Linked DNA regions of Sus scrofa. The protein of the gene in region 4 interacts with the protein of the main gene of each other region in a biochemical or structural test. Links are inferred from orthologs where the notes say so. Each region holds a gene or a part of one and is shown on either strand. Other genes may lie near its edges.

What was found.
Region 1: of the proteins of CDC25A (region 4) and CHEK1, one has a biochemical effect on the other in vitro, tested with the Homo sapiens proteins (7 studies listed by BioGRID and IntAct, with this or other methods). The link is inferred for Sus scrofa from reciprocal best matches to the Homo sapiens genes CDC25A and CHEK1.
Region 2: the proteins of CDC25A (region 4) and CCNE1 form a complex in vitro, tested with the Homo sapiens proteins (2 studies listed by BioGRID). The link is inferred for Sus scrofa from reciprocal best matches to the Homo sapiens genes CDC25A and CCNE1.
Region 3: of the proteins of CDC25A (region 4) and CHEK2, one has a biochemical effect on the other in vitro, tested with the Homo sapiens proteins (5 studies listed by BioGRID, with this or other methods). The link is inferred for Sus scrofa from reciprocal best matches to the Homo sapiens genes CDC25A and CHEK2.
Region 5: the proteins of CDC25A (region 4) and YWHAQ form a complex in vitro, tested with the Homo sapiens proteins (2 studies listed by BioGRID, with this or other methods). The link is inferred for Sus scrofa from reciprocal best matches to the Homo sapiens genes CDC25A and YWHAQ.

The regions. Positions count from the first base shown.
Region 1 is NC_010451.4:52,764,623-52,770,568, reverse strand, and holds part of CHEK1 (serine/threonine-protein kinase Chk1), read right to left. Parts: intron 1,837-5,946; coding exon 1,648-1,836; intron 1,155-1,647; coding exon 1,050-1,154; intron 1-1,049. UniProt on the Homo sapiens protein: Serine/threonine-protein kinase which is required for checkpoint-mediated cell cycle arrest and activation of DNA repair in response to the presence of DNA damage or unreplicated DNA.
Region 2 is NC_010448.4:39,917,195-39,923,755, reverse strand, and holds the start of CCNE1 (G1/S-specific cyclin-E1), read right to left. Parts: upstream 4,216-6,561; 5' UTR 3,961-4,215; intron 3,476-3,960; 5' UTR 3,447-3,475; coding exon 3,424-3,446; intron 3,312-3,423; coding exon 3,224-3,311; intron 3,007-3,223; coding exon 2,938-3,006; intron 1-2,937. UniProt on the Homo sapiens protein: Essential for the control of the cell cycle at the G1/S (start) transition.
Region 3 is NC_010456.5:45,955,963-45,961,908, reverse strand, and holds part of CHEK2 (serine/threonine-protein kinase Chk2), read left to right. Parts: intron 1-1,685; coding exon 1,686-1,810; intron 1,811-1,928; coding exon 1,929-2,076; intron 2,077-5,209; coding exon 5,210-5,300; intron 5,301-5,946. UniProt on the Homo sapiens protein: Serine/threonine-protein kinase which is required for checkpoint-mediated cell cycle arrest, activation of DNA repair and apoptosis in response to the presence of DNA double-strand breaks.
Region 4 is NW_018085145.1:126,086-132,031, forward strand, and holds part of CDC25A (M-phase inducer phosphatase 1), read left to right. Parts: intron 1-981; coding exon 982-1,044; intron 1,045-1,139; coding exon 1,140-1,238; intron 1,239-2,273; coding exon 2,274-2,404; intron 2,405-5,068; coding exon 5,069-5,180; intron 5,181-5,407; coding exon 5,408-5,548; 3' UTR 5,549-5,946. UniProt on the Homo sapiens protein: Tyrosine protein phosphatase which functions as a dosage-dependent inducer of mitotic progression. Directly dephosphorylates CDK1 and stimulates its kinase activity. Also dephosphorylates CDK2 in complex with cyclin-E, in vitro.
Region 5 is NC_010445.4:126,764,911-126,770,856, reverse strand, and holds part of YWHAQ (14-3-3 protein theta), read right to left. Parts: intron 4,005-5,946; coding exon 3,881-4,004; intron 531-3,880; coding exon 367-530; intron 1-366. UniProt on the Homo sapiens protein: Adapter protein implicated in the regulation of a large spectrum of both general and specialized signaling pathways. Binds to a large number of partners, usually by recognition of a phosphoserine or phosphothreonine motif.

The DNA.
Region 1 (5,946 bases), on a different chromosome or scaffold from region 4:
CCCTGAGCCTGGGAACCTCCATGTGCCGCGGAGAGTGGCCCTAGAAAAGGCAAAAAGACAAAAAAAAAAAGACAACAACAACAATAACAAAAACACTGCATGTATTTTTGATTCTGTGATTCCACTTCTGGGATTTTATTTTAATTAAGTAATTTAAAATTATGTGCAAAGATTAAGTTGTATGGACAATCACCATATCTCTTTTTTTTTTTTTTTCAACGTTATAACACTGAGAAATTAGAAAAAATTCAGAATTTCTAAAAAGGTGGACTGGATAAGTATTATAAGGCATGTCCATATAGCAGAATACCATCACAGCCTTTAAAAACAGTGATGTAGGAGTTCCCGTCATGGCGCAGCGGTTAACGAATCCGACTAGGAACCATGAGGTTGCGGGTTTGGTCCCTGCCCTTGCTCAGTGGGTTAACGATCCGGCGTTGCCGTGAGCTGTGGTGTAGGTTGCAGACGCGGCTCGGATCCCGCGTTGCTGTGGCTGTGGCATAGGCCGGCAGCTGTAGCTCCGATTGGACCCCTAGCCTGGGAACCTCCATATGCCGCGGGAGCGGCCCAAGAAATAGCAACAACAACAACAACAACAAAAGACAAAAGACAAAAGACAAAAAGACAAAAAAAACCCAAAAAAAACAAACAGTGATGTAGACCTATAATTATAGTCATGGAAAAATGTTCACAAAGCATTAACACAATAAAGACAGGTTACAAAACAGCATGTATAATGGGATCTCATTTTTTGCAAAAACACACATACTTATAAATAATATACATATATAGCAAACATATATATATTTTACTACAAAGTGTAGAAGTACATATCAAAATTACTATAAGAAGCTATTTCTGAGTGCTGGAATTATAGGATTGGATTTATAAAATTTTTTATTATTTTCCTAATTTATCTATAAGGATCACAGGTTATTTACATAATGATTTAAAAGTTAAGAAGAAAAAAAAAGTAAGAAGAAAATTCAAACAGCGCTAGGCTTCACTATCTAAGAAATCAATACTTTAAATTAAGATAACCCGGTTACCTAGAGGAGCAGAATCGATTTTTTTCCAAGGGTTGAGGTATGTTTTTTTTTCTTTCCAATCACAATATTCCTGACAACTATCACTAGGCTGGTCCCACGGCAATTCTAAAAAACAAACAAGTCCCAGTTTTCTGAGTGTTTGCATCATTGTACAATAAAGGTTTTAAGGGAAAATAATCAGTGACACAAATCCATTAAGTTTCCTCCAAATTAATTAAATATGGTTTCCAAAATAAGAATGTCAACTCAAAGAAATTTCAAAGGCATTTCTAAGATAGATAGTCCATGTCCTGCCTTACTCTATCCAAAATTACTCACATGAATTTTCAAAGAGAGAGCTACTGTTATATGTCATTTAATAGCTATATACACACTTCATCTTTAAAAACCTCTGGGATTGAAAGTTCCAACTTGGTTATAAATAAGTTAATATTAAAATACTATCACATAAATACTATTCCCTTGATTTATTTCATTTATTTTGGTACAACAAATCTGGGTTTCCATAGGAAATTATCATAATTTATCATATGATAATTATTTATCATAATTAAGTAGCTCTTATAATAATCATTTATCATAATTAAATAGCTCTTACCTCCAGCCAACATTGCAGTAAGTACTATTCCACAGGACCAAACATCAACTGGTTCTGCATGAAATTCTTTTCTCTTCAGAAGCTCTGGAGCAACATATGGTAAAGTACCACACATCTTGTTCAATAAACGCTCACGATTATTGTGCCGAAAAACGGTTGCCAAGCCGAAGTCAGAGATTTTGAGGTTATCTAAACCAAAGGAAAAAAGATGGCACTGGATAAAAATATTTTGTAAATAGATATACTAAAAGAAATTGAGTTTTATTGGAAAACCACTGGTATTACTTAAGATTTGTAGATTCTCTACCTTAAAATGACCAAAAAGAAATTTTTAAAAAGAAATAAAAGACGTTGTCATATAGATAAAACTAGGAAAAGACTTCATGGCTTTCATGAACACACAAATATCATGGACCAGGTTAAAGAAAGATAATGGAGTCAAAAGGGCTTTCTAGAAAAGAACACTCCAGGCCTGGGCTAAAAGCAGGACCATGCCCTCATCAGGCTGTGGCAGAGGGCAAGAGGGAGACATCAATAATATATTAGGCACAACTTTCTCAGCAGCGAACAAACCCAGCTGGTCAGAAGAAAATGTACAAAGACACTCCAAAACTAAAGATCCACATATCACCAGAATTTCTTGTCGAAGTGACTAAGTTTAGAAAAGGAGGAGGAACTCTGTATAAAAAACAAACCAGGAAGTTCCTGTCGTGGCACAGTGGTTAACGAATCCGACTAGGAACCATGAGGTTGTGGGTTCAATCCCTGGCCTTGCTCAGTGGGTTAAGGATCCAGCGTTGCCGTGAGCTGTGGTGTAGGTCGCAGACGCAGCTGCGATCCGGAGTTGCTGTGGCTTTGGCGTAGGCTGGTGGCTACAGCTCCAATTCAACCCCTAGCCTGGGAACCTCCCTGTGCCAAGAGAGCGGCCCAAGAAATGGCAAAAAGACCAAAAAAAACCCAGAAGAACACATTTCCATTCTAACTTCTCATTTTCAACACACACAAACTGCAGGCAAAGCTTCCTTATAACTATACTTAGTAAATATCTACCACAACTGAGCGACACTGCACTAGCCATTGCAGGTAGATAAATTACTGAAAAAGACTAACTATAACAACTGCTGTGAAGGTTATGAAAATGTAGGACATTACAAGATCTTACAGAAAGGGAATCTAACCTAGTCTTCAGAGTTGGGGAGAACCCCTATTATTAAGTGTCCACTGGTACAACTTTTTTAGAAAGCCATCTGGCAGGAGTTCCCGTCATGGCGCAGTGGTTAACGAATCCGACTAGGAACCATGAGGTTGCGAGTTCGGTCCCTGCCCTTGCTCAGTGGGTTAACAATCCGGCGTTGCCGTGAGCTGTGGTGTAGGTTGCAGACGCGGCTCGGATCCCGAATTGCTGTGGCTGTGGCATAGGCCGGCAGCTGTAGCTCCGATTGGACCCCTAGCCTGGGAACCTCCATATGCCGCAGGAGAGGCCCGAGAAATAGCAAAAAGACAAAAAAAAAAAAAAAAAGAAAGCCATCTGGCAAAAGATGCCAAAATTTGAAATACTCACACTCTCTGAACTAGCAATTTCCACTTGTAGGACCATATCCACAAAAATACATCCAAAAATTCACAAATAAGGATATCTATAACAGTATTATTTGTAAATATCTTAAATGTCCATCAATAAAGAAATAATTAGGAGTTCCCACTGTGGCACAGCAAATTAAGGATCAGGTATCATTGTAGTGGCTGGGATTGCTGCTGTGGCACAGGTTTGATCCCTGGCCTGGGAACTTCCATAAGCCAAGGGCACAGCCAAAAGAAAAAATACAAGAAACAAAGTCTATCTACTCTACTGACATGGAATTGGGTATAAATGAAAAGAAAGGCAAGTGCCATAATAAATATTCATAATAATATAACTCAATTATTGTATTGGCCTGTGCACAAATTTACGGAATAGGCATCACTGCTCTATTTTTTTCAAGGCTAGAAACAACTTAAATGTCCTCAATTAGGGGACTGATTCTTTAAAAATCAATTACAGCCACCCAATATAAGAAGTAAGCTGTCGATAATAATTACTGGGATGTCTTGGGAGGTACCTACTGTCATAATCCTTTTAATAGGTATATAAGACACAGTCTTAGCAAACCACTGAGACTTAGAGTTCCAAGTTAACTGATAGTAATCACTGAAAATACTAATGGATGACCATAGCATTCCTTAGATTCTATTGTTTCACCAATTCTACTACATAATACTTAGCTCTAACTGCATATAATAAATTTAACTTAAGGATTGTGATTACTTCTAAGAAAAAAAAAAGGTACGCACATCTGTGAAGGAATACACAGGAAGACTTACACTATATTGGTGTTGTTTTCCTTTTTATAAGATTATCATTAAGCAGAAACAGAAGATTATTTATATAATATACAAGATATGAAATATCAACGTAATGAAAATCCACTCACCTAATACCTAGTTTAAGACCATTTTATTTCCTTTGAAATCTCCTATAAATCCTTCCCTAAATATTATTACCTTTCCTAACTGCAGTCCTTCCTTTTTAGAAGTTTTTATGTGGCTTGAAATCTGCATTTAATCAGAAAAGGACTCAATTTGTAGGTGAGGAATAGGAAAAATTGATTATAATACCATCGAAGCTATTAGTATTCAAAAAGTATTGGACCTAAAATGAAAAATAGAAACAGAAGGAGGGGAGTTCCCATTGCTGTGCAGTACAAATGAATCCAACTAGTATTATGAGGATTCAGGTTCAGTCCCTGGCCTCGATCAGTGGGTTAAGGATCTGGCGTTGCTGTGAGCTGTGGTGTGGGTTGCAAACATAGCTCGGATCCTGCATTGCTGTGGCTGTGGTCAGCGGCAGCTCTGATTAGACCCCTAGCCTGGGAACTTCCATATGCCAAGGGTGCAGCACTAAAAAGTGAAGAAGAGCCAGAAGGAAGTCTCCCAGCTTGTGCTCTCGTTTCTCAGAATTCATCAACAGACCATTCTATGGTTCCTTTTCCCCATACACCAAAATTTTGAATAGCTAAAACTGTGCTAAGCACCTTATAAAACAACTTGCAATTTTGAATAGCTAAAACTGTGCTAAGCACCTTATGAAACAACTTGCAATTTTGAATAGCTAAAACTATGCTAAGCACCTTATGAAACAACTTGCGAAAGGCTAAATAACCAAGGGAGAATCTTAAGTAGTTAGGTTAGTAGATGAGTTAATAAAATGATACCTAAAACCTATTAACCAAAATCTTAAGACTGATTGTAACTGATTGATGGGTTTCTGTTGATTTTTTTACTTTCTTCTTTAAACTTACGATCTTATTTCATGATTAGCTTTTATCCTTATAAAAAGGAAAAAAATCAGTATTTTTAATTTGGGAATAAAGTTTTCACATTCCAGATACTCCATTTATTATATAAGCTGGCTTAATTTATCTCCTTATATAAAGGTAAATCATAGAGTTCAAAAAGAGGTCAGAAGAAGGTTGTTAAGAACATACACATACATTATGATGGGGCACAATACTGCCAAAAACACTAAACCTTAGGGTTGGACAAGATGCTAAAAGTACTTTGGTCCAACTAGCCAAGCAATGTTTAAATTCCCTTTATAATATCCCTGATAATGAATAACCCAGGGTGAGTCTCATGTTATAAAATAACCTGTTCAGTTGTTGGACAGATCCATCAATGGGGGTCATCACTGCACTACTCCAAATTGCTTCCATATAGTTTTCATTCACATATTGTGAACAACTGTATTTAACAATTAGCGAGTTTTCCTTAAGTTCCTCAATTATTCCTTATTTTAGCTTCCAGCTCGTTCATCATTCTGGTCACTCCCCTACAAAAACACTTCAGTAGTCTACATGCCTTCACAGAACTGTCCTCAATACCCATTATTCCCGCTGTGGCCATACCAGAGAAGTGCTGGATGCTGTCTCCCTCACTCTCACCTTATCTAACCTTACTCTTCTAATCACCAAATCACACTGGGTGACTAATATGAAGTTTGCTGATTAATAAGTTTTTTTAAACCTTCTTTGCTGCCAGAAGTTTGCCATTAAAATATACTTATTTGGTTGGTTTTTTCCAATCCAAATACTGGGTTGTACTGGAAAACAACTGGTTACATCTGACTCACATCTCACGTCTGCTAAATTCATTCATTCAATAAACATTTTTGAAAGCCAACTATTTGCCAGGCACTATTCTAATACATTAAAAAAAAAAAAAAAAAAAAAAAAAGTTCCCATTGTGGCTTAGCAGAAAACG
Region 2 (6,561 bases), on a different chromosome or scaffold from region 4:
AAAGATAAAAAAAGAAAAGTCTGAGACTCATGGCATTTTCTTTTAAGCAGAGAGATCTTTAATGTTGACTGGAAAAGAGACAACTGAGAAGACTACAGATGAACATGGCAACAGGAACCCTAAGTGGCGCCTGGAAGATAGGGGACAGGGTGGCTATCGCAGCACACCGGCCACTTTCAGAGGCCAGAGTACTTTCAGTGTACAGAGAAGAGCAAAGCGGGACAAAGCTCTTCTCCATTCAATGTGCAGAGAATTGGGCATGCAAATTAACCATGACAGTTCTTGCCAACAGCTGTTGGAGAAGGGCAACCTCCTCTTCCAGTTCTAGTATCATGTGCTGGTAGCATTTCCTTGACTCAGAAAGGGTCACATTACAACTGCTTTAAGCTGCTCTTCATTCAAGAATGAATTCTAGTTTTGAAAGCAGAAGCTGGGTGTCACCCTCTAGAGCCAGATGGTTGAAATAGCTGAGAGCAGGCCTTTGGAGATAAAATGGTAACAGTTCTCAATCTGCAGTTCATAGACAAATCGGGTGAACCACAAGTAGACAAATGGTCCCCAAAGTCGGCCTAAAGGAACCAGTGTATGAAGCAGAATGATGACGTCTTTACCCTTTAACTTGAGTGTACACCATGTCTCAAAAAAAAGCAGGATCTGTCTGACTTTAGGAAGGAATGAGACAATAGTAAGAGGCAAATCTTGATTATTCCTGACCACCTCTGACTCTTCGAGCCACTTTTAACTTTCTAATTTATGCAAAACTATAAGTAACGAACAGAAAGTCCAGGATTCCATGTCGAGAAAAAAACTCGAACAACAAGACAGATATATTAAGTGGACTTTAAATAAAAGAGTATTATTTTCATGAAGAAAAACCTAAAGTAAGAATCAAAGCTTCTATGTGGTCTCGATGAAGCAGTTACACGGAGTTGCCCATGACGGCGACAAGTAGCTCAGGGCTGCTCAACAGGGCTAAACTGTGACTCCAGAGGAAAATTCTGTGTAATTAACAGGCAAAAAGGTTGTGACCCCAAAAGCTTGGCTTCATGAATCTATAGCAAGAAATAACAAAAGACATTGATTGCTCCATAACTGATGGGTGGTCATTTTCCAGCTATCTGCTCGACAAAATGTGCAGAAACCTGTTGTCATTAATCTCTGAACAACCATGAAAATGCCTTCTAGTGGGAAATGATATGGCTCTTCATGTACCACCTCTATCAGCTCTCTGCAGTCCAGGGATAGGGCCAAAGCCCTGTCTTAGGCACTCGAGGCACCACTCAGCTTATCTCTGAGAACAGAAACTATTCTCAAACTCCAAGAAGTCAAGAGGGACAGCTTTGCTTCAACCTCAGTTAAAAATTTCAATTCGAAACACAGCTGGGAAGGTAATCTTGAATTTCACAAAGAAGACATCCATAAACATCAACTTGCTTGGTCTGCAGTCTCTCTCTCTTTTTGCTTTTTAGGGCTGCACTCGTGGCATATGGAAGTTCCCAGGCTAGGGGTCGAATTGGAGCTACAGCCGCCGGCCTACACCACAGCCACAGCCACATCAGATCCGACCTGCATCTTCGACCTGCACCACAGCTCACGGCAATGCTGGATCCTTAACCCACTGAGCGAGGCCAGGGATCGAACCTGCATCCTCATGGATACTAGCTAGTCAGATTTATTTCCACTGCACCATGATGGGAACTCCCTGGTCTGAAGTCTTTCAGGAGAGAAAGAAGAAAAAAGAACTTGGAAGGCACTACCTTATTCCCTTTCCTAAAGTGAAGTACTTCTTCTAACACAGCAGGGAAATCAAGAATCCCTTGTTCAACACTCAGTAGAACCTCCCCAGAAATACTAATTACTAGGGTCCTGTGTGCAGTAACAACTGTTTTGCAAACAATGCAGCCCACGGCCTTGAAGCTCCTTACTCTTCCAGACCCAGCACTATGGCTGTTGTTCACTGCCCTACAAAGTGGAGTGCTGTCACTGCTAATGTCATGGGGACCACTATCCTTGGCTCAACCCTAATATTCCTGCTCAGTTTTTATCTGTTATTGCATTAGAAAGCCTGATCAGCTAGTCTGGAGATAGGCTGCTTCCCCTACTGGAGCCATAACTACATTCTCCAGCCATTTCTGGAGGTAGAGAGATAATACAAGCCTTTTCTGCTAGGAACTTCTGATATTATGACGATACCATGAGCATGCAAGAAATATGGCGGGAAGTCCACAAAGGAAGGGCAAGAGAAAAGGACCAGCCAATTTAAAAAGTGTGCTTGAGAGGTGCATTATCCTTACAGGGAATGTCCCACCAATGCTCTGGTGGAGGCCAGGTCAGGTACCAGACAGCAGGGATCACTACAGGTAATTGCTGGATGAGCTGGAAGAACGTTCAGAAAGGGGAAAAAAAGTCTGAAACATGACCCAACGGGGGTGGGAACAGGGAAGGGCAATTCCTAAGCACCATGACGAGAAAACACAAGTGTGGATGAGGGAGAAGGTGCTTCGGAGCACACGCAAACCACCATCATCACAGTGACCCAGAGTTCTGTGTCAGGAGCCTTCCCTGCAGTTCACCAGCCTGCAGACTAGGCTGAAGCACAGACTCCGCCCCTGGCTTGCACAGGACTCTGGGTTACTTTCTTCCTCTAACCGAGTCTCAGTTTCCTCAAGGGCAAAAGGAGAGGACTGAGTTATGTGATGTCCATTCTGGTTCTTCCAGACATGGGCGCATATTTGTCATCTCAGGGATGTCAGACAGGAACATACACCTTCCTGGAATCCCAAGGCTGGCAGCGGTCAGTGCCCACTGACGGGCACCGTCATATGGCCATAGTCAGAGAACAAGCCTTCAGCAGGAGCCAGCCAAGGGAATAAGAGACTACATTTGACCCCCCAAAAGGAAAGCCTCCATTTAGGCCCAATCAGTAAGTGTACCTACCTGATTGCCACACTGGCTTCTCACAGTTCTGTCAATTTTGGCCACATCTTCATCTGGATCTTGCAAAAACTGACGTAAAACAACCCCCACAACCCAAGGAAACACACCACACAGTCCAAAGACAAAAACACACACATAGAGAAGAAAAAGACAGTAGGTTAGGTTATGTGAGCACCATTTCTGCCAAACGCATTCCCCCGTGACCCCCTATCAATAAATAGGTGGGCAGAACCCAGGTATGATGAGAAGGGGGGAATCCTCCCCCACCTGTCTCCTTTGTACTCACAACGGCCACATTTGCCTTCCTTTTCCTGGAGCGAACAGAGACATCAGTGCCACTTTCCTCTTTCATAGTGTCAGGTTCCTTCGCATCCCTGCAAAGCCAGGGGGGGCACAGAGGTGAGGGTGAGTTCTCCCCAAATCTCGGCCCACCCCTCCCCCACCACTGCACACCTTTCCCTCTACCGCAGCGGCCAGGCCACTCACCTTTCCTTCTTCTCCCTCGGCATGGCGCTGGGCACAAGTTCAGACCTCAGGCCTGGGGGCACGAAAAGGCAGTGGGCTGAGGACCGGCGGCGGAGGGGGCCAGGGCCCCGCCGGCCCGTCCCTGGTACCCCTCCCCCTCCCGCGCGGGCGGCGGCGGCGGCGGGAGCCTCCCGGGCCGGTCGGGAAAATGGCCGATGGGCCCGGGGTGGCCTGTCACCCGCGGCGGCGCCAGCGACCGGCGATGCCGGGTCGGAACCCGGGGTGGGGGGGCCCTCGACGCCCCCCGAAACCCTCGCCGGCCCATCGCCTCCCTCGGGGCCCAGGCTGCCTCAGTCTTCCCCTCAACACCTCCCTGTAGCCTGTCTCTGAGCCGCCCTACCGGGGCACCCCGCGCTGACGCCTCTGGGGACCCGGCGACCCGATCTCGCCCCACCCCCACCCCCACCCCGGCCCGGCCCGGCCCGGCCCGGCCCGACCCGGGCGCTCCGGGAGTCCTTGCCCGCCGCGCCGTCCGGCAGCCCGCGGCGGGGTCCTTACCCGAAGCCGTCTCCGCGGCAGGCAGGCAGGCGGCACGAGCCGAGGCCGGACGCAGGAGGCAGGGGCGAGCGGGAAGCCGGGAGGCGGGAGGCGGCGGCGGGCCGAGCGCGCGGCGGTGGCGGGATCCGCGCCTGCCCCCTACACCGCGCTGGCGGCCGAGCCGGCTGCTCCTGCGCCCGGCTAAGAGCGGGACATTTAAAAATCCCAGCGCGCGGAACCGGCCCCCGGCCCGCCCTCGCGCCCTCCCGCCACCCTCCGCCCCGCCCCGGCCGGCTCGGAGCCCCTCAGCAGCCGCCCGAGGGCCCGGGCCCGCCCCGCCACCGCCCTCAGGACCGCCCCGCGCGGCGCAGGCCCGCCCAGGCGCTCGGCACCTCCGGGGGCGGGGCCAGCGAAGGGCGGGGCTAAGTGACAGGGCCTGCGCGCCGGAGGGGCGGGGCCCGGGGGCCGTGGCGGGGCCTGCGCGGCCTGAGCTGCGGAGCCCGCGCGGGGCGGGACGCGGGGGCCGGCCGGCGCGCGCGAGGGGGCGGGGACGCGCCGGCCGGCCGGCCGCGAGGGAGGTCTGGCGCGAGCGCGCGGAGGGGCGGGTCGCGGGGCTCCGGGGGCGGAGCCGAGCGGCGCCGGAGCGGCAAAAAGCCGCGTGGCCCGCGCGGGTGGAATGTAAACACCGCGGGCGACGAGGGTTCGGGCCCCGGCGGGGGTCGGGCCAGAAGACTCCGCATCCATCGGCCTGCCGCGCGCGCGCGCGCGCACTGTCGCTCCTTGCACGTCCTCCCCGCCCCCGAGAGACGCAGGGTTCCGGGCCCTGAGTTGGGGCGGGGATGTGCCCAAGGTCACAGCGCCTGGTCACAGGGCCTAGAACCAGGGCCTTAGGCCGCTAGGTCTGGGTACCCCTGTAGAACAGCTGTTACTCCTAGTCGCGTGTCAGCCCAACTGGCCATTCATGCGTGATTCTTTGCATGCATTCATTCAGCTAATATTCGAGCACCCTCCACGTGTGCCTCTTCCCCACAGATTCATCCCTGGCAGAAGCCCTTTCTGATGCTGGAATTCCACGCAGTTCTCTCCAGCGATAAAGTGTTTTGGCCCTTAAAGTCAAATCCACGCTCCCTGCCTTCCAGGGCTCCGCATGGAGTGGCCTTCGCCCCCCTCAGCCCTCCCCTTCAACCCCCTTCCCTGACGGCTCCCCTGATCACCCTCTGTCCTTTCTCATCTCAGGGCCTTGGAGTTTGTTGTTCCCAGCTCTGGCCCCTTGGGGCCGCTTGTCCTTCCGGAGAACGTCAATGACCACTGATTTAATCTAGAGCACCCCTCTCCCCAGGAGTTCCTGTCTACCCCATTGCCCTGCTGTGGTTCCTTCACAGCACTTGCCACCATTAAGTCTCTTGCTCCTTTCTGTGTTTGGTGCTCCTTTCCCTACTTTGCCTGTCCAGGTCTTGGCATAGTGCCTGGAGGAAGGGAGGCCCTTAAATCTTATTTGTGAAGGAATGCTTGAAAAACACAATCACCAAGCCCTTGTGGAGTTTATAGGCTATGGAGAGAGGTAGTACTGAACAATCGTGACTTGAAAGCACTACTGTATTAAGCCTCTAGAATAAGCATGTGGCAGAGAGCTCCTAAACACTCCTAAGGCCCTTCCTGATGTAGTCTCAGTCTTGGGCCCCCTCCTTCCGTGACTATCTTAAAATTAGAGCCTGGGTCTTACTGGTGGGCATGACTGTGTCATCCTCAGAGTTGCCAATTAGCAGATCGTTGAACTTCCTGGGGCTCTGAGGTCAAGGCCGCTGAGATGACTTGCTCAGGTTGGCTTAGGTAGACCTGGAATGCAGGTTCTTGAATTTCCAGCCCCGTGCCCTTAACAGTAACAGGTATCACAAACATTTCCAAAATAGCTTTGCACTAAATCTTTGGAGGTATTAACTAAATTTCGCAATAATCCTGTGATGTTGATACCATGATTGTCTTTTGTTGTTGTTGTTGTTGTTGTTGTTGTTGTTGTTGTTTTGTCTTTTGTCTTTTGTTGTTGTTGCTATTTCTTGGGCCGCTCCTGCGGCATATGGAGGTTCCCAGGCTAGGGGTTGAATCGGAGCTGTAGCCCCCGGCCTATGCCAGAGCCACAGCAACTCGGGATCCGAGCCGCATCTGCAACCTACACCACAGCTCACGGCAACGCCGGATCGTTAACCCACTGAGCAAGGGCAGGGACCGAACCCGCAACCTCATGGTTCCTAGTCGGATTCGTTAACCACTGCGCCACGACGGGAACTCCTCTTTTTTTTTAATAACAGCTTTATTGAGTTATAATTCACATGCTATGAAATTCATCCTTTTTTTTTTGGCTTTTTAGGGTCACACCAGCAGCATATGGAAGTTCCCAGACTAGGGGTCAAATCGGAGCTGTAGCTGTCAGCCTACACCGCAGCCACAGCAACGCTGGATCCGAGCCGCGTCTGCCACCTACACCACAGCTCACGGCAATGCCAGATCCTTAACCCACTGAGCGAGGCCAGGGATTGAACTGCAACCTCATGGTTCCTGGTCAGATTCATTTCTGCTGTGCCACGGCAGGAAATCCGATACCATGATTGTCTGATTTCACACATG
Region 3 (5,946 bases), on a different chromosome or scaffold from region 4:
TTTTTTTTTTTTTTTTTTTTTTTTTTGGCTGCACCTGAGGCATGTAGAAATTCCTGGGCCAGGGACCGAACCCTAGCCACAGCAGTGACAATGTCATATTGTTAACCTGCATGGCTTCCTGGGAACTCCTGTGTTTAACTTTTTGAGGAACCACAGATTTTTTCACAAAGGCATACCATGTTACAGTCCCACCAGTAATGCGTGAGGGTTCCTGTTTCTTTGCCTTTTTGCCAACACTTATTATTTTCTTTTTTTTTTTTTTAAATTATAGCCATCTTCATAGATGTGAAGTGGTTACATGTGTAATTTTGATCTTGCCACAGTATCCTCCTTAGATGGTATATAAATTACATTCTTCTTGGAAATGTATGAGAATATCTGCTTTTTCAGACCTCTTGCCAACACAGTGTAATGTGAAACTTTTTGATTTTTGTCAGTCTGAAAGTTGAAACATGGAATCTTTATTTAGGCTTTCAGATTTTCTTGTATTGAGTTAGCATGGCCATCTTCTCATGTATTTGAGCTATTTGTATTTCTGTCTTTCATAAATTGTCTCTTCATATCCTTTACCCATTTATTATTGGATTGTTTGTCTTTTTCTTACTGCTTTGTAGAAACTTCACAGATATTAGGGAAATAAGTCCTTTGTCTGTGGTGTGAGTTGCTAATATTTTCCCTAGTCTGTCTTTTCATGAACATTTTGCTTAACTGCCATATGCGTTGTCCTGGGTGTTGTAGCTGTACTCTTGAACAAGAGATGCAAGGCTGCCCTCCCAGAGAATGTTCTAACAGGGGAATACCAAATAATCAAGATAATTTTCAGTTATGGTCCATACTTAGAGGAAAACTCAACAGCCTGTCATGATTATGGTGGGTAGGTGATAAAGGGGGAGTCTGCTTCTACAGAAAGCTGAATGGAAAACAATAATTTGCAGGCACAAAAGGTAAGATAGCCATTCAGATAGTTTTGAATGAGGAATTCAAAGTCCATGAAGGAGATTGAGCCATGCATTTTGGGGGCAGTGGAAGGAGGCCAGTGGAGCTGGGTGTAGTGATCAAAGGAAGGGTACAAGGTAAAGCTGGGAGGGACGCAGGGGCCAGACCTTGAGCACCTAGCCTGCCATGCAGAGTGTAGATATTACACTAAGTATGGTGGGAGGCCTCAGGAGGGTATAGGAGGAAGTTATTGTTATATCATAAGTATTTTTCCCAACCACTCAGAATTATTTGAGAATTTTAATGGCTGCTTAGCATTTCATGGCTATGTATAAACTAATTTATTAAAGTTGTTGGAAATTTTTGTTTTCTTTCTCTTTTTTGTTTCTCTCTCTCTTTTTTTTAATTTTATGACCATGGCATATAAAAGTTTTCAGGCCAGGGATTGAATCTGAGCTGCAGCTGTGACCTACACTACATCTGTGGCAATGCTAGATCCTTTAACCCACTGCAGGAACCAACACCTCTGCAGCGATCTGAGCCCCTGCGGTCAGATTCTTAACCCACTTCTCCACAGCAGGAACTCCTCTCCCCTCTCATTTTTAATCTTATAAAATCTTGGTGGACAGGTCTATAATTTTCATTGCCTTCTTAGGCTATTTTCCTTCAAGCAGATTTTATGAGAAAATTTTAAAGGTGTTTGATGCATGAAATTTAACAGCCCTCTGGTGTGTGCTTTTGTGTTACAGAGTGTGTTAACGACAGCTACTGGTTTGGGAGGGATAGAAACTGTGAATACTGCTTTGATGAGCCCCTGCTGAAAAGAACCGATAAGTATCGGACTTACAGCAAGAAGCACTTTCGAATCTTCAGAGTAGGTGACAAATATCCATACATTTGGGAGAACTGGTAATCTAGACATCTCTCTTAGATATCTCCCCACCAGAATGCCCCACTGTTAAAACTTTGAAATAAAATATTCTCTATTTTAGGAAATGGGTCCTAAAAACTCTTACATCGCATACATAGAAGATCACAGTGGGAATGGAACCTTTGTAAATAGAGAGCTTGTAGGGAAAGGAAGACGCCTTCCTTTGAATAACAATTCTGAAATTGCACTTTCAGTGTGGAGTAATAAAGGTAATATTATCTTCTGGTTACTGGATTTTTTTTCCTTCCCATATAAAAGGAAAAATGACATTTTATCCTTTGCAGAATATGGTTTAGGTAACTAAAGTAAGTAGATTAGCTTTCAAGATTCATCGCAATCCTGGTTGCATTTTTTAATTATGAAAAGTTCTATCAAGACAGGTTTTCTAAGGTTTAATTGGTTTGATTTAGTTTTATTTAAATCCATATACTGTCAATCGAATTATCACATTGCTTCAGTTATCATTCATTGCTTGACTCAGTTTATTTATTTATTTATTTATTTATTTATTAGTCTTTTGTCTTTTTAGGGCTGCACCTGTGGCATGTCGGGAGGTTCCCAGGCTAGGGGTCTAATCAGAGCTGTAGCCACCGGCTTACGCCAGAGCCATAGCAACACCAGATCTGAGCCGCGTCTACGACCTACAGCACAGCTCATGGCAATGCCGGATCCTTAACCCACTGGGTGAGGCCAGGGAGTGAACCTGCAACCTCATGGTTCCTAGTCGGATTCGTTTGTTTCGCCACGACGGGAACTCCTTGACTCAGTTTTATGATGTCAGCATGAGATATCTGTGAATTGTTATTTTAGGCCATTAGTTCATCTCCCCCTCTTCCTTCTCTGTCCTCCTCATCTATCAAACCATTATATATAGCCCGGCATTAGACTATGGGATTTCCTCTAACAGTCTCAGTTTAGACTTTCCACCTTCTTAAATATGACATGATTATCCTCTGAAAATGGAGAACATCATAATCATCAGGTACCATTTATTCCTAAAACTTCACAAATATCACATCTGAAGCGAACAGTTGTCATTCAGTGAGCATAAAAACCTACAGAATTCAGTATAGCTCACAGTGACTTTAAAACCTTGGACAAGAGGATACTCTTATTTCCTTAATTAAAAAAAAGCCCCATGAACTTCTCAAAACTCTTTTGAGAATTGAGTGACTTGGAGTGGTATATGTTTGTGTGGGTAGCATCTTAAAAATATAGATTCCCAGAGGCATTGCCCCATGGATTCTGATCCAGTAGTTCCAAGGATTTAAAAATCCTGCCCAGGTGATTCCCATGCAGCCGGCCTTCAGACTGGCATCTGGGAATTATGGCTTTCCTGGGTGTCCCATCGTGCTTTTTTTTTTTTTTTTTTGTCTTTTTGTCTTTTGTTGTTGCTGTTGTTGCTATTTCTTGGGCCGCTCCCGCGGCATATGGAGATTCCCAGGCTAGGGGTTGAATCGGAGCTGTAGCCACCGGCCTACGCCAGAGCCACAGCAACGCGGGATCCGAGCCGCGTCTGCAACCTACACCACAGCTCACGGCAACGCCGGATCGTTAACCCACTAAGCAAGGGCAGGGACCGAACCCGCAACCTCATGGTTCCTAGTCGGATTCGTTAACCACTGCGCCACGACGGGAACTCCCCCATCGTGCATTTTATGATTGACTTAGTTATCCCTGTTTTGCTGTTTGAGAGCACCTGGTCAAGGGACAGCTGGGTGCTGAAATTTGTTCTGTCCTCTATTTGACAAGCAGTGTGCCAACTTATTCTAATTGGTTTATCCAAGGTGCACTTTTCTAATTTGGCCAAAAGTGTTCTGTGTTCTGAAGCTGGCCATGACTTAAATAGATCAAACCAGTTCTCTGTAGATCACATGTGGCCTGTTGACATTTTATTTGCTGATATTTGTGCTTAAACATGAAAATCCAAATTACTTTCAAAAGATGGAATACCTTACTATCTTGAGTCTGTAATCTCCTAACCTGAGGATTTGCAGGTGTTGTGTAGAAGCTGCTTCCTTTCCATGGGTGATGTGTTTTCCTGTTCAAGTTCTCACTGCTCCGTGTCTTACATTCACCCTGGCTTTATCTCTGTGCAAGACCTTCCTGGCTTGTGTAGGCCACTGAGTTTGCAGACCTTGAAGTAGACCTTGACATTTGGGGAAATACATCTCCAGAGCTCTTCCAGTGCCCTGATTCTCAGGGGCCACTGGAAGATTTAGGTTCATAAACATCCACCAGCAGAATGGCACAGTGTATCCTGGGCGGCCAGCAAGTCTTATATATTTAGGCAGGTGTCTACCTCCCATGGACCAGCCTGGCTGGAAGCATCCTGAGGTGGTTCAGACTTGTGCCAGAGGTCAAGACCCATCACCTGAAAATATGAGAAACTCAAGGGTCTTAACAAATTTCACTCTTTCAAGATATTATAGGCAGTTGCAGGTTTGCCACTGATGACTTTGTAGAATTGGAATGTTTGATAACTGATTGCAGGCTTGACCTAATAGAGGATTAAATTATGAAATGAGTAGTGTTTTTGGTTTTCTTTTTCTGAGATAACCAAGCCATATAATGAAGAAATAAAGGGGATTTGGGGGGAAAGTGTGGTGTAAATTCAGTATAGTTCACTATAAAATACCCGATAGGTAATGGTAGAAATGGCTGAGAGAAGATGATGCTAGTATGGTGACTTCTGGCCTGATTTTTATTGGGACATTTATTTGCCTAGAACATATTTTCTAGATTCAGACTAATTGCTTTTTGGTTCTTGGTCTGTGCAATTGGTAACTGTTCTGAGGTCAAGCAATAAGAATACTATTTATGTTTAAGTTTCTTGCATTATAGTGAGAACAATGCTGTGTATTTCTGTTGTGGAATGAAACTTTTCTGTCATCATTTTTCAAAGGTTTCACAATATGCATTAACCTAGCTAAATGATTTCTTTGGGGATAAATGTGAAATGGAATTAAAAATGTTTATGGCTCAGTGGTTAACGAACCTGACTAGTATCCATGAGGATGCAGGTTCAATCCCTGGCCTTGCTCAGTGAGTTAAGGATCCCACGTTGCTGTGAGCTGTGGTGTAGGTCGCAGACATGGCTCAGATCCTGTGTTGCTGTGGCTGTGGTGTAGGCCAGTGGCTACAGCTTGGATTCAGCCCCTAGCCTGGGAACCTCCATATGCTGTGAGTACAGCCCTAAAAAAATAAATAAATATAAAGGACAAAAAAAAAAAAAAAAGGATTCTCTTATATTTCATATATTTACTAAGCTTTTAGGACCATTTATCTTCTCTTTATCAAATGAATTAATGACACCAATTTCTGCTATTTTTTTTCCCTCAGTTTTTGTATTTTTTGATCTGACTGTAGATGATCAGTCAGTTTATCCAAAGGAATTAAGAGACGAATACATCATGTCGAAAACTCTTGGAAGGTAATTTTTTTTTTCTTATGAAACTTGTGTTTGATTTCTTTCTAAACATTTGTCATTGGGAGTTCTCTAATGGCACAGTGGGTTAAAGATCTGGCACTGTCCCTGCTGTGGCTCGGGTCACGGTTGTGGGGAAGGTTTGGTCTTTGGCCCAGGAACTTCCACATGCCTTGGGTATGGCCAAAAAAAAAAAAAAAAAAAAAAGAGAAGAAAAGAGAAAAAAACAAAAAAAAGTTATTTTTCTTTGGTCATTTTGTTCGTGGTTTTATAGCGTTCTTTATATATATTCATAACATTGGTAGGGCACCTATTTGTGATAGGCATATTCTTGCTGTATTTAACAATGATTAGTTGAAAGTTTTTCTTTATAGCTTTTATTGGTGATAACTTTTTAAAAGCAGTTTTATTGAGATATAATTTACATACCATATAATTCACTCATCTAAAAGTGTACAATTCAGCAGCTTTTAATGTATTCACAGAGCTGTGAAACCTTTACCACATCAGTTTTAGAGTATTTTTATTACCTTCCATAAAGAAACTATTTACTACATTTCTTCCCTTTTTTTTTTTTTTTTTTTTTTTTTTTTTTAGGGCCCCACCCATGGCATGTGCAAGTTCCCAGGCGAGGGGTCGAATAGAAGCTGTA
Region 4 (5,946 bases):
GTTGGTTATGTTTGTCATAATGATCTTGCACACGGCCACAGGGATGGGTGAGCCTTGAGTGCACCAGTCACCCTAATGAGTAATGCTGAGGTGCTTGTCTTCCCCTTCAAGGCTGGGTTGGGTCTCACTCCTTCTACCTCAGTGTCTAGCACTGTGTTGGACATGGCAAATGCTCAGTAAACCAGGGAAGTTATTCTTGGCTGTGTCCTTTAAGTGCTGAGGTGAGGGTTCCTGACAAAAGCAGGAGAAAAAGGAAATCACCTGAGGTTTCTGTATTGCAGGCTGGCCTATTAGCTGGCTAACCTTGAACAAAGTGTCTGGCTTTGACATCTGGAAATGGGGATAATGTGCCTTAAAGGTCTGCGAAAGTTCAGTCAGGATGTTAATGAAGCACCTACACAAATAACCAACATGTACTATTAGATTATTTTTTTTTTGTTTATTTGTTCGTTTTCTTTCTTGTCTACCCCATGGTATATGGAGTTCCCAGGCCAGGGATCAGATCCAAGCCACAGTTATGACCTGAGCCACAGCTGTGGCAATGAATGGTGGAACTTTAACCCACTGTGCCAGGCTGGGGACTGAACTGTGTCCCAGCACTGCAGAGATACCACCAATCCCATTGCACCACAGCGGGAATTCCAGTATTACCTTTTTTTTTTTTTTTTGGTCTTTTTGTCCTTTTAGGGCCGCACCTATGGCATATGGAGGTTCCCAGACTAGGGGTCCAATCAGAGCTGTAGCTGCTGGCCTACACCAGAGCCACAGCAATGCCAGATCCGAGCCCCGTCTTTGACTACACCACAGCTCGTGGCAACACCAGATCCTTAACCCACTGAGCGAGGCCAGGGATCAAACCCGCAACCTCATGGTTCCTAGTCGGATTCATTTCCGCTGTGCCATGACGGGAACTCCTCCAGTATTGCATTTTTAAGCTTTCAGATTTACTAAGTGTTTCTCTTCTCTCTCTCTTTTTTTAAGGGTTATCTCTTTCATACAGTTGCTGGGAAGCATCAGGATTTAAAATACATCTCTCCAGAAATTGTAAGCCATCCTTTTGGAACCTGCCACACATGGGGTATTGAAATCTCATTGTTCTTAGCAGCCAGGGTTAATTCTCCTCGGTTCTCTTTCCACAGATAGCATCTGTTTTGAACGGCAAGTTTGCCAACCTCATTAAAGAGTTCGTTATCATTGACTGCCGATACCCATATGAATATGAGGGCGGCCACATCAAGGTATGGATTCCTAAAACTTGCCAGTGAGTCCTCTTGTCATGGGAGCTATGGCAGCATTTCTGTGGGTGTTTTGTTTTTTAAAGGGGGAGGTAATGTTTGGCTGCTTATAAAGCTTATATGCTGGTTATCATAAGTGTACAGAGAGGCAGTGGTGGGAGTTCCCATTGTGGCACAGCAGAAACGAATCCAACTAGTATCAGTGAGGATGCAGGTGTGAGTGTGCAGCCCTAAAAAAGTAAAACATATGAAAAGAGGCAGTGGGCATGAAAGGCATCTGAGTCCTGGTACACAGAAAGAATGCTCCCTTGTCTGTACTAATCCCTACCACATGGCATAGCAAATGCTCCCTGTTTTGTCCCTTACGCCATCACCATCAGGGGCATTTCCAAATAGTGCCCACTAATTTCATGACTGAACATGAAGCCAGAGGAGAAGCCAGTCTTTGGCAACATGTCCCCATTTGTGCCACACCTAGTGATGCCTCATAAGTTTTAGAGTTAAGTTAAGTTGCCTGGTTAGGCCAGTGTTGGAACGCTTTTCCAGAAAGAAGATAATTGATTGTGCCATTTTAATCTTTTTTTTTTTTTTTTTTTTTTTTTTTGGGTCTCTTTAGCCTTTTCTAGGGCCGCTCCCACAGCATATGGAGATTTCCAGGCTAGGGGTTCAATCAGAGCTACAGCTGCTGGCCTACACCACAGCTCATGGCAACGCTGGATCCTCAACCCACTGAGCAAGGCCAGGGATCGAACCCGTAACCTCATGGTTCCTAGACAGATTTGTTAACCACTGCGCCACGATGGGAACTCCTGTGCCATTTTAATCTTTTAACCACTAAAATAGTGTTGAAATATGGTAAGGAGGTACTTTAATCACAGCGTTAATGTTTGCCACTGTCTTATGGCTGTGAAAGCCCCACATTTACCCCCCACATTTACAAATACCACTCCTAAAGCACATGTGGTCACAACGGAATTTGAGGTGCCCATTTGAATCATTACTGTAAATATGAGGTGAGAGTCTCTGGTGCCTTCACAGGGTGCAGTGAACTTGCATATGGAAGAAGAGGTTGAAGACTTCCTACTCAAGAAGCCCATCGTACCTACAGATGGCAAGCGTGTCATCGTGGTGTTCCACTGCGAGTTCTCTTCTGAGCGAGGCCCTCGCATGTGAGTGGGCTCTGGGACTTGGAGCACATCACAGGTCATTTACATGCCTTAGCCTATGCACATGGTGTGTAAATACATGGGGTTTTGTAAAGTATCAATTCATGTGTAGCAGATGTTCTCTCAAATTCTTACCTATTTAGCAGTCAGTTGATTTCATGAATAGCTTCCTGGAGTATAGTTCATAGGCTTAACCTAACAGTTTCTGTTGTGAAGGCTTTTCTGGTTTCCCCAGGGCAGCCTGTAATCCTGATATCTTGCCCATACAATATCTTTCATAGATCTGGGCTCTGCTTCATCACTCCCACTTCTGAGTTAGTCGTGGCTCACTGTTCAACCTTTCTTTATATTAAACTCTGGCTCTTCCAATTTCCCCTATTGTCTTTAGCTGTTCTCAGGCCACTGTTTTCAGGTGATATCCTTCAAGTACAATGTGGTTACTCTATGCAAATGCCAGAAAAGTGTGACATCCTCACAGTAAAACTTGATGTGACACTTTCAAACATTTGTGAAATCCATGTTTGCAAAGGAGTGGGTTATATTACCTTCACATTACTGCTACATTAGGGGTGAAAAAGAAATGCCACCACACACACACTCCCTCTCTCGCTCTCTGTCTCTCTCTCTCTCTTTTTTTTTTTTTTTTTTGGCCATTTGTTGGGCTGCTCCCGTGGCATATGGAGGTTCCCAGGCTAGGGGTCTAATCAGAGCTGTAGCCGCCAGCCTACACCAGAGCCACAGCAACGCCAGATCTGAGCCGTGTCTGCAACCTATAGCATAGCTCATGGCAACGCCGGATCCTTAACCCACTGAGCAAGGCCAGGGATCAAACCCACAACTTCATGGTTCCTAGTCGGATTCACTAAAACCACTGAGCCACGATGGGAACTCCTCTCTCTCTTTTATTAACAAGAATTTCTATTAGGGCTTTGGTGTGAAAGGCCCTGTTTTTGGGAAGGGTACATTTTATACCAAGATAAATGAAAATATAACTACAGTAAAACAACATTCACTTAAGATCCGAAATAATCATCTGGTACTCTTAATAGCATCCTTCCACATTCTCACTAATAGTAACTGGACTGGTGCCAAAAATATGGTGAGCAGTGAGTGATAGTTATGAAAAGTGGTGGTGGTGGGGGGGCAAACAGCCACCCATCCATTGTCCAGGTCCCTTCAGAAAGGACTGCCACACTGGACATGTCAGGGGCTATTGAAGCAATGAAGGTACAGCAGTGAGGGGACCTGCCCCCGGGGAAATCACAGTGGAGACGGAAGGTGGTAGTGACAGGTGCTGAGCAAATGGGGATAGAGGCGCAGGGAGCAATTCAGCTTCTCTAGGGAGGTCAGAGAGACTTCTCATTGGGCCAGATTCAAGGTTTTTTTTTTTTTTTTTTTTTTTTTTTGCTTTTTAGGCCCATACCTGCGGTATATGGAAGCTCCCAGGATAGGGGTCAAATCCGAGCTATAGCTGCCAGCCTGTGCTAGCACAGTGTGTCACAGCCACAGTAACTCAGGATCCTACACCACAGCTCATGGTAATGCTGGATCCCTGGTCCACTGAGCAAGGCCAGGGATTGAACCCTCATCCTCATGGATACTAGTTGGATTCGTTTCCACTGAGCCACAGCGAGAACTCCCAGGTTTAATTTCTTGTGCCATCTTTTTTTTGGAAGTAGTTGAAGCGCAGAAGGAACACATGCTTCCCCTGAATTCATCAAATTTCAATATTTTGCTAAATTTGCACACATATAACTCATAAAAATGTTTACAATACACTTGCATATGCACAACTACAAGAACTTGGTGTGTGTGACCATCTCTCCAAGTCCTTCAGCACCTATCTCCTAGAGATAAGGACTTTGCCCCACATTAGTCCAAAACCATAAATACATGAAGAGGTGGGCTTTCAGCGAGACCTAATGTTTATTCACAAGTGGAATTATTCACTTTGCACACTATTACTTCACATGTGCCAGGTACTGGGGAGAGTAGCAGTGGACAAAACAGACAAAACCCACTGTCTTCTAGGAGCTTACATTTCATCTTATCTGGGCAGGATATGTAAACTTGTGACATGTTAGAAGGTGCTAAGACCAGAGATGAACAGCAAGGGGACCACAGTGGCTGAGGCATCAGGGAAGCGGGGGATGACACATTGTAGGCACTGTGAGGACTCTAGCTTTTGTACTAAGAGTTGAAAAGGAAGGGGGCACCAGTGGATGAGGATATCTGTATTTAGTCCAGGTATAGGATACAAATAGTACCCTGAGGCAAGAGTCAAGTTTAGCCCATTTAAAAAAGCCACAGGAAGAAAAATGCCTTCCTAGGAGGTGAGGGAGAGACACTGGTTGAGGAGAAGGTGGAGAATGCAGTGAGAAGCATGCTGAGAGGCTGTCTCTGCTGATGGGGTGCTGGGTAGAAATCAGATGCTAGGGCTGCTCAACTTGGAAACTGGAAAGAGGCCCTCTACCTTCCAATACAAGGCTGTGAACACTTCCTAAAGATCACAGGTAGCCAGGAAATCCCAACTCGGCACTGTTTCGAAGAATGAACATAAGGTTGCAGAGACATGTGTAAGGAGCACTTAAACCACAAACAACCCACAAGTGCTGTTTTCTGAAACTGTAGAGCTAACCGTGCTCTGGCTTTCCGTCCCCTCTGTAGGTGCCGATACGTGAGAGAAAGAGATCGTCTTGGGAACGAGTACCCCAGACTCCATTACCCAGAGCTGTATGTCCTGAAGGGTGGATACAAGGAGTTCTTCCTGAAATGCCAGGTAAGATGGGCTCTCTGGAGGATGTGGCCCTCCCTCCCCTTGCCTAGGTTGGACAGTTAGACCTGGCTGGTGGTTACAGCTGTTTCTTCCCAGGGATTTGGGGATTTGCCCTGCACGTAGAAGGGCCCTAGAACCACTGACCAGAGCCTTGCAGCCCCTGGCAGGGAGGGAGCAGGAGAGTGCCTGTGAGGCAGATAAGCCCTGACCTCATCTTGTCTGCCCACCAGTCTCACTGCGAGCCCCCCAGCTACCGGCCCATGCACCACGAGGATTTTAAAGAAGACCTGAAGAAGTTCCGCACCAAGAGCCGGACCTGGGCTGGGGAAAAGAGCAAAAGGGAGATGTACAGCCGTCTGAAGAAGCTCTGAGGGTGTTGGTGCCAGACTGCAGCAGCCTGAGCCTCCCTCCCTCCCCCTCTTTCCCCCTTAGAGAAAAGGGGCCAGCTGTGTGACGTTTGGAGAGAAGGCCTGGGGCTTCCATGCCCTAAACCTACCTCCCACACTCCCAGGGTTGGAGCCCAGAGCATCGTGCAGGTTCTTCTGTCCCTGTCAGTCTTCCCTCCTACAGCGGGATGGTCTGCCACAGCCGTCACGTACCACAGCACAGTTCCAAGCACCAAGTCAAGACGTTCTGCCTCCTCATCCTCCACAGTTGGATGGCCACCTGGGGCCTCCCTGGGCATTGGCCTTCTCTCCTGAGGGGGTGGGGTAGGAGAGTCAGAGTGGAGAAGAGTAACACAAACGGAAATGCTGCTGGCCAAATACCA
Region 5 (5,946 bases), on a different chromosome or scaffold from region 4:
GGGATTGAACCCACAACCTCATGGTTCCTAGTCGGATTCGTTAACCACTGCGCCATGACGGGAACTCCTCAGCCTAAGAACTTTTGAGTATGACTTGAAACTTATAAAAACCCGGCAGGCATTATCTTCCAGTCCTTTCCATTTCTTTCACACTCTTCCGAATACTCTAACCTACATGCCCTTTAGACAGATCTTATTACTCTAAACCAGAGCCGGGAGAGTAAGGGCCTGCGAAGCGCAGTGGCGGGCGGGGGGGTGTGATGCTAAGAAAAGGAAGGGTTATCCAAATAAATGCAGTAGAAACAACTGGAAAGCAACAAGCTGCTCTCCAATCACCTAGAGGCCGTTTCCGCGTGCAGAGCTTACCGTTTTGGCCAGTGTGCAGGCAAGTTCTGGATTATTGAGGATCTCATAGTAAAATACAGAGAAGTTAAGAGCCAGCCCCAGGCGGATGGGGTGTGTGGGTTGCATCTCTTTCTTGCTTATATCAAAAGCCTCTTGGTAAGCTCCCTGGGAATTATCTATCGTTTCTGTGAAGGAAAAAACAAAATAAAAAACATGATACTGAAAATACCCACCTGGTATTCAGCAATACCTTTAACATAGGCTGCTAGCTCAGTAGAACCAGATTTTTCTCTGTAGCCTTCTTTTATTTATTTTTTGGTTTTTAGGGCTGCACCTGCAGCATATGGAAGTGCCCAGGTGAGGGGCTGAATTGGCCCACATCACTGCCACAGCAACGTGGGATCAGAGGCACCTCTGCGACCTACACAACTCACAGCAAGGCCAGATCCTTAACCCACTGAGCCAGGCCAGGGATTGAATCTGAAACCTCATGGTTACTAGTCAGATTCGTTTCTGCTGCACCACAATGGGAACTCCTCTGCAGTCTTCTTTTAAAACCATAGCGGCAAGCCAAAAACATTACTTTGTACCAGGTTTTTAAAAAACTAGTTTATAATGTTGCTTGCTTATAATCAGCTTAAAAAAAAAACCTCATGTAATAATACAACAGATTTTTCCATTTCTGGGACTAAAACAATTTTCTTCCACGTCTTTTGATTAAAAATAATTTGGTACACACACATCAATAATAACTCAATAAAGTTCGGAAAAAAGCTAGCTATAATGTTCCATCCTGAAATAATGGAAACATTTTACAAAGATCACCACCAAAATCTCTATTTTTGTGATTTACCTGTAGAAACACCACCTACCCTTGGTATCAAGGTGTATTATGTGAAAGGCAATATAAAAGCACCCAGAGATAGATCCAAATCTGCTCTGACCAGAGTTTAATTACTGGCCTAATGTTACCTTCCTGAAAAAAACGTCCAGGAAGCACTACCCACACTAATCTGATTAAACCATGTTTTGCAAAGGGCAGGTGTTCTGAATGAGGCCTTTGGTCCCACTACAGCTTGAAAAAAGACGGACCTAACAGAAATTAAGCTGTTCCTTCACAGCCAGCACGTGTGCATTTTCCTTGCTCTGAAATGGCGCATTTACTGAGGTAATCACAGCTGGCACAGCCCTCGCCTACTAAGGAGCTCTTGCTCCCTGGCACAGAAGGAAGCGCTACAATGAGTACGAATGGCGTCTCAGCTTGTAGGTAGTAAAAAATACCAGACTACCAGAGTAGTCTATGCACAGGACTAGAAGAGGCCGAGTCAGAAATGGTTAGATCGGATGAACGCGTGGCTATGGCTCAACCTCTCGATCCCTTCGGCTGGCTGACATTTAAGCGTTTAGTTCTGTGCAAACACTAATCATGTCCAGGTCTGCTTATCTTTATAGCAACAGAAATTACATATGAATAACAACAGTACACAGACTGTGTTACAGTGAGGCACAAGAGTTTTCCTTTATGTGCTCAAATACACTGCTTTTGGGGTGGTAGAACTGTCTCACTTTTAGTTAGCGTCTCTCTATGGAGCAGAGAGGAGAGGAGGCCGTAATGTGTGTGGGTACATGCCCTTTTGGGATGGGGCAAAATGAAGAAAATAATGAACTTCTGGGAAAAAAATGAGTTAAGCGGAACTTCTATAGCTTGATGAACACACACAGAATTTAACAGGATGGCATGCCCAGCTGTCATTACTCCAGGAGACTGAGTTCACTGCTAATAAGTTTACCTTGACCTTTTTATAATCACGTTAGGTAACTTGGTCATTCTTTGCCCCATATCTATGTTTTCTATGATAAATTATATACCAGTAATACTACTCTCATCTTACCTCTCTTTTTCAGAAATCTGGTTATCTATAATAAGCAGTCAATGTTATGATCCTTCAAGATGGGTAGTAGCTAATGAATTAATATGTCAAGCAGAAAAAGTACAACATCCTATTTCTCTAGCCTACATGTAATTTCCAGTTACCTTAAGTTTCCAGATATAAGATGCTAAAGACCATGTGACATCCAAAGCATATGCAAAGAACTCTGGGGCTAAAAATATGATGAACCAAATTTTAAAGGCTAAAGAGTAATAAGCCTGGGGTTTTCCCTACTGGGACACAGCAACAGCCATTTATTCACATGTTGTCTATACTCGCCTTTCCACGACGAAAGCAGAGCTGAGTGGCTGCTGACAGAGACTACATGGCCTATGAACCCTGAGATATGCACCATCTGGCTCTTGATAGAAAATGTCTGTCACCTTGGGAGCGAGCTCGAGAAACAGGACATTCTCAGTATCAAGAAGGCCCCCTGTCCCCGCCCCCAGTTTCGACACCCTTCCCAAGCCCTTTCCTGATTTCTAACGCCACAGACTAACTGGGCCTGAACGTGTGCCACGGCAGTGACAACGCCAGATCGCAGCCTGCCGACTGAGCCATCAGGGAACTCCTTATTCAACACCGGATTGCTGAGATCTGTCCACACGGCTACAGGCAGTGGAAACGCCTCTTCACTTCTGTACGGTACACCTAGAATGTGTTCCTGAAGCAAAATTATGACACAGGCAGATGTGCTTTGATCCCCACCTCATCCCTCCTTTAGTCCCATGGGGGCTTTTTTCACTTCCCCTCCCAGATACTCTCCATTTTGCTTCCCTCCACCCACCAACCCCTCATTCCTCTCCTACATCAGGAAATGTACCTCTAAGCACAGCTAAGGGTTAATGCACCAGAAGGTTGTAAAGCTTCGAAGCCTCTGTCAAGCCTGAGTACAAAAAAGGGGCAAATTTACTTGTGGATAGGCAGGCATCACTGTGCCAGGGGACGGATGCCGGGATCCTCAAAACAGGACCCGACCACTATCTGTCCGTCCATCCGATTGGTGATACCCATGTGAATTGTTTCGAGGTTTGTGTTCTTACAAATAACACTGCTATGAATATTTTTGTACATGTGTTTTGTTTAATATTTGTACATACTTCTTTTGGGAATTTATGAAGGAGTGGGGTCTCCTGATGATGCCTCTGGAGTTGCCATCATAATGTATGCATTTGTGGATCTGTGATAGACATTTGCTTTTTTTTTTTTTTCCTCCTTTTCAGGGCCACACTTGTGGCATATGCAAGTTCCCAGGCTAGGAGCTGAATTGGAGCTACAGCTGCCGGCCTACACCACAGTCACAGCAATGCCAGATTCTTAATCCACTGAGTGAGGCCAGGGATCAAACATGTATCCTCATGGATCCTAGTCGGGCTCGTTAACTGCTGAGCAACGAAGGGAATGCCCAATACTTGCATGTTTTTTTAAATAATATTTAATAAACTTTATCAGGTTATAATCAGTTTATGAGTTTAATTTTTCAAAAAGGGCGCATAATGTAAACTCATGACTGTTTTCATTTTTGAGAATGTAAGGCAACAGTATGAATTTATCCCGCTCTCCTTTTATTTCTTAGCTGTACCCATAAAACCAAGCGCACTTACGTTTCCGATCATCACCGCAAGCAACCTCAGCAAGGTACCGGAAGTAATCTCCCTTCATTTTCAGGTAGAAGACCTTACTCTCTGGATTAGTTGCATTGGCTATTAAATACTTATCCAACAATTCCTGAAAGAAATAAGTTAAAACATTAGGCACTAATAAAAGTAACTACCAGTCACTCCACACCGTGCCACCCTGGACTGAAAGCATGGGCTAGAGAGCAGGGGCCAGGTGGCTGCCATTAGTTGAATGGCTTGGCTCACAGTGAGTGATAATTTCTAACGGTAAAGCTAGATGACATCAACAATCATAATTAGAAAGAGCCTGTCAGTTCGTTCATCCATTCATTCAAAGAGGCACTTGCTAGGTGCCAGGCACTGCATGTGACCAGAGGGGAAATAAAGAGAAGGTTCCTGCCCTCAAAGAGCTCACAGTCTAGTACGGAAAAAGGTAAGTACACTATGACCAGTACACAGGGCATAAAAGACACATGAACAGGGGGCTATGGAAGCACAGGGGACGACTATCTGGCTCTGCTGGAGGGGCCACTGCTAGGACAAGCTTCCCCGGGGAAGGGATGTGTCGAGAAGTAACAGAAGGAACACAACAGTGAGAAAACAAGCATGTGCAATCACTTCAGGGAGGGAAACAAAATGTTTAAGCCATCAAGTTTGAACAGTATAAGCAGAGCAAGGAAGTCGTCACGGCCCAGGGCGGGGCTGCTCAGCATCCTCTGCCAACCAGTGCCCATCCAGAACCAGGGCGAGTAAGGGGATCCGAGTAAGTGATCTACAAACTTAGCGGGCAATCTGACAGTTACGGCTACTGAATGGAATTATTTTTAAAATCATTTTTGAAAACTGGGTTAGTATTTAAGTATATCTTTTATTTCCCATTTCATACAAAGAAAACTTCGGCTTGATCCAATGAGCCAGCACTTCCCAAACTGAGGTATTTGTACAAGGTGTGCCTGAGAGTGTTAAAAAGTCACAAAAGACAAATATGAGAGGTACTTTCTTGGACTATCAATTTTACTTGATGCTAAGTAATTTAAAAATCTTTCTGTAACAAAAAATATAGAGTAGAATGAAGTTCTCAAAGAAATTTTAAGGTATTAAAACCTATACCTCATAGGTTTGTTTTGGGAGTAAAATCAATAAATAGATACTGGAGAAGTAAAAGATGATTTAGAAGATGTACCTGAGGGAGTTCCCGTCGTGGTGCAGTGGTTAACGAATCCGACTAGGAACCAACCATGTTTCGGGTTGGATTCCTGGCCTCACTCAGTGGGTTAAGGATCTGGCGTTGCCATGAGCTGTGGTGTAGGTCGCAGACGCGGCTCGGATCCTGCATTGCTGTGGCTGTGGTGTAGGCCAGTGGCTACAGCTCCAATTAGACCCCTAGCCTGGGAACCTCCATATGCCGCGGGAGCGGCCCAAGAAATGGCAAAAAGACAAAGAAAAAAAAAGAAAAAAAGACGTAGTTTGAACTCAAGAACTTGTTGTTTTTCTGAATAAAGAGCCTAAACAATTTGGAATGATTATATGCATGTTATTTTAAAGGAAATAAACAGAAAAACATTTTAAATCTTTAAATTTATTGAAAAACATGTTTAGGTTAAAAAAAATTTTGTGAGGGTCTGAAATTCAGGGTAAGTTAAACTTAGTATTATAGGAAAACTACCTAATGAGTCTCTGGCATGTATACATTATAAAAGCGGCAAGTATCAAAAGTGTGGCTTAAATCTGGAAAGCTGCTGGGCCAAGAGTCAAGCAAGAGATGGGCCACACCTAAACACAACTAAAAAGAAATGCTGCTTCTGCACCACCACACTCTTAAATGGGGAGAGAAGCAAAGGATTGTGTAAGGATTTCTTCTGCTCAACACCACCAGCACAACTGTAACAGTTATTAAAATGAGCTTAAGAAAAACTCCTTCCCAGAATCTTACAAAATCCTATTACCGAGTAACTTTTTCCTCTAATACCATTTTTAAATACTGTGGATGACTTTCAATTTTAAAACTATTTTTATGGAACACATGAATTTGGGGTTTCTGGGCAGAAGGT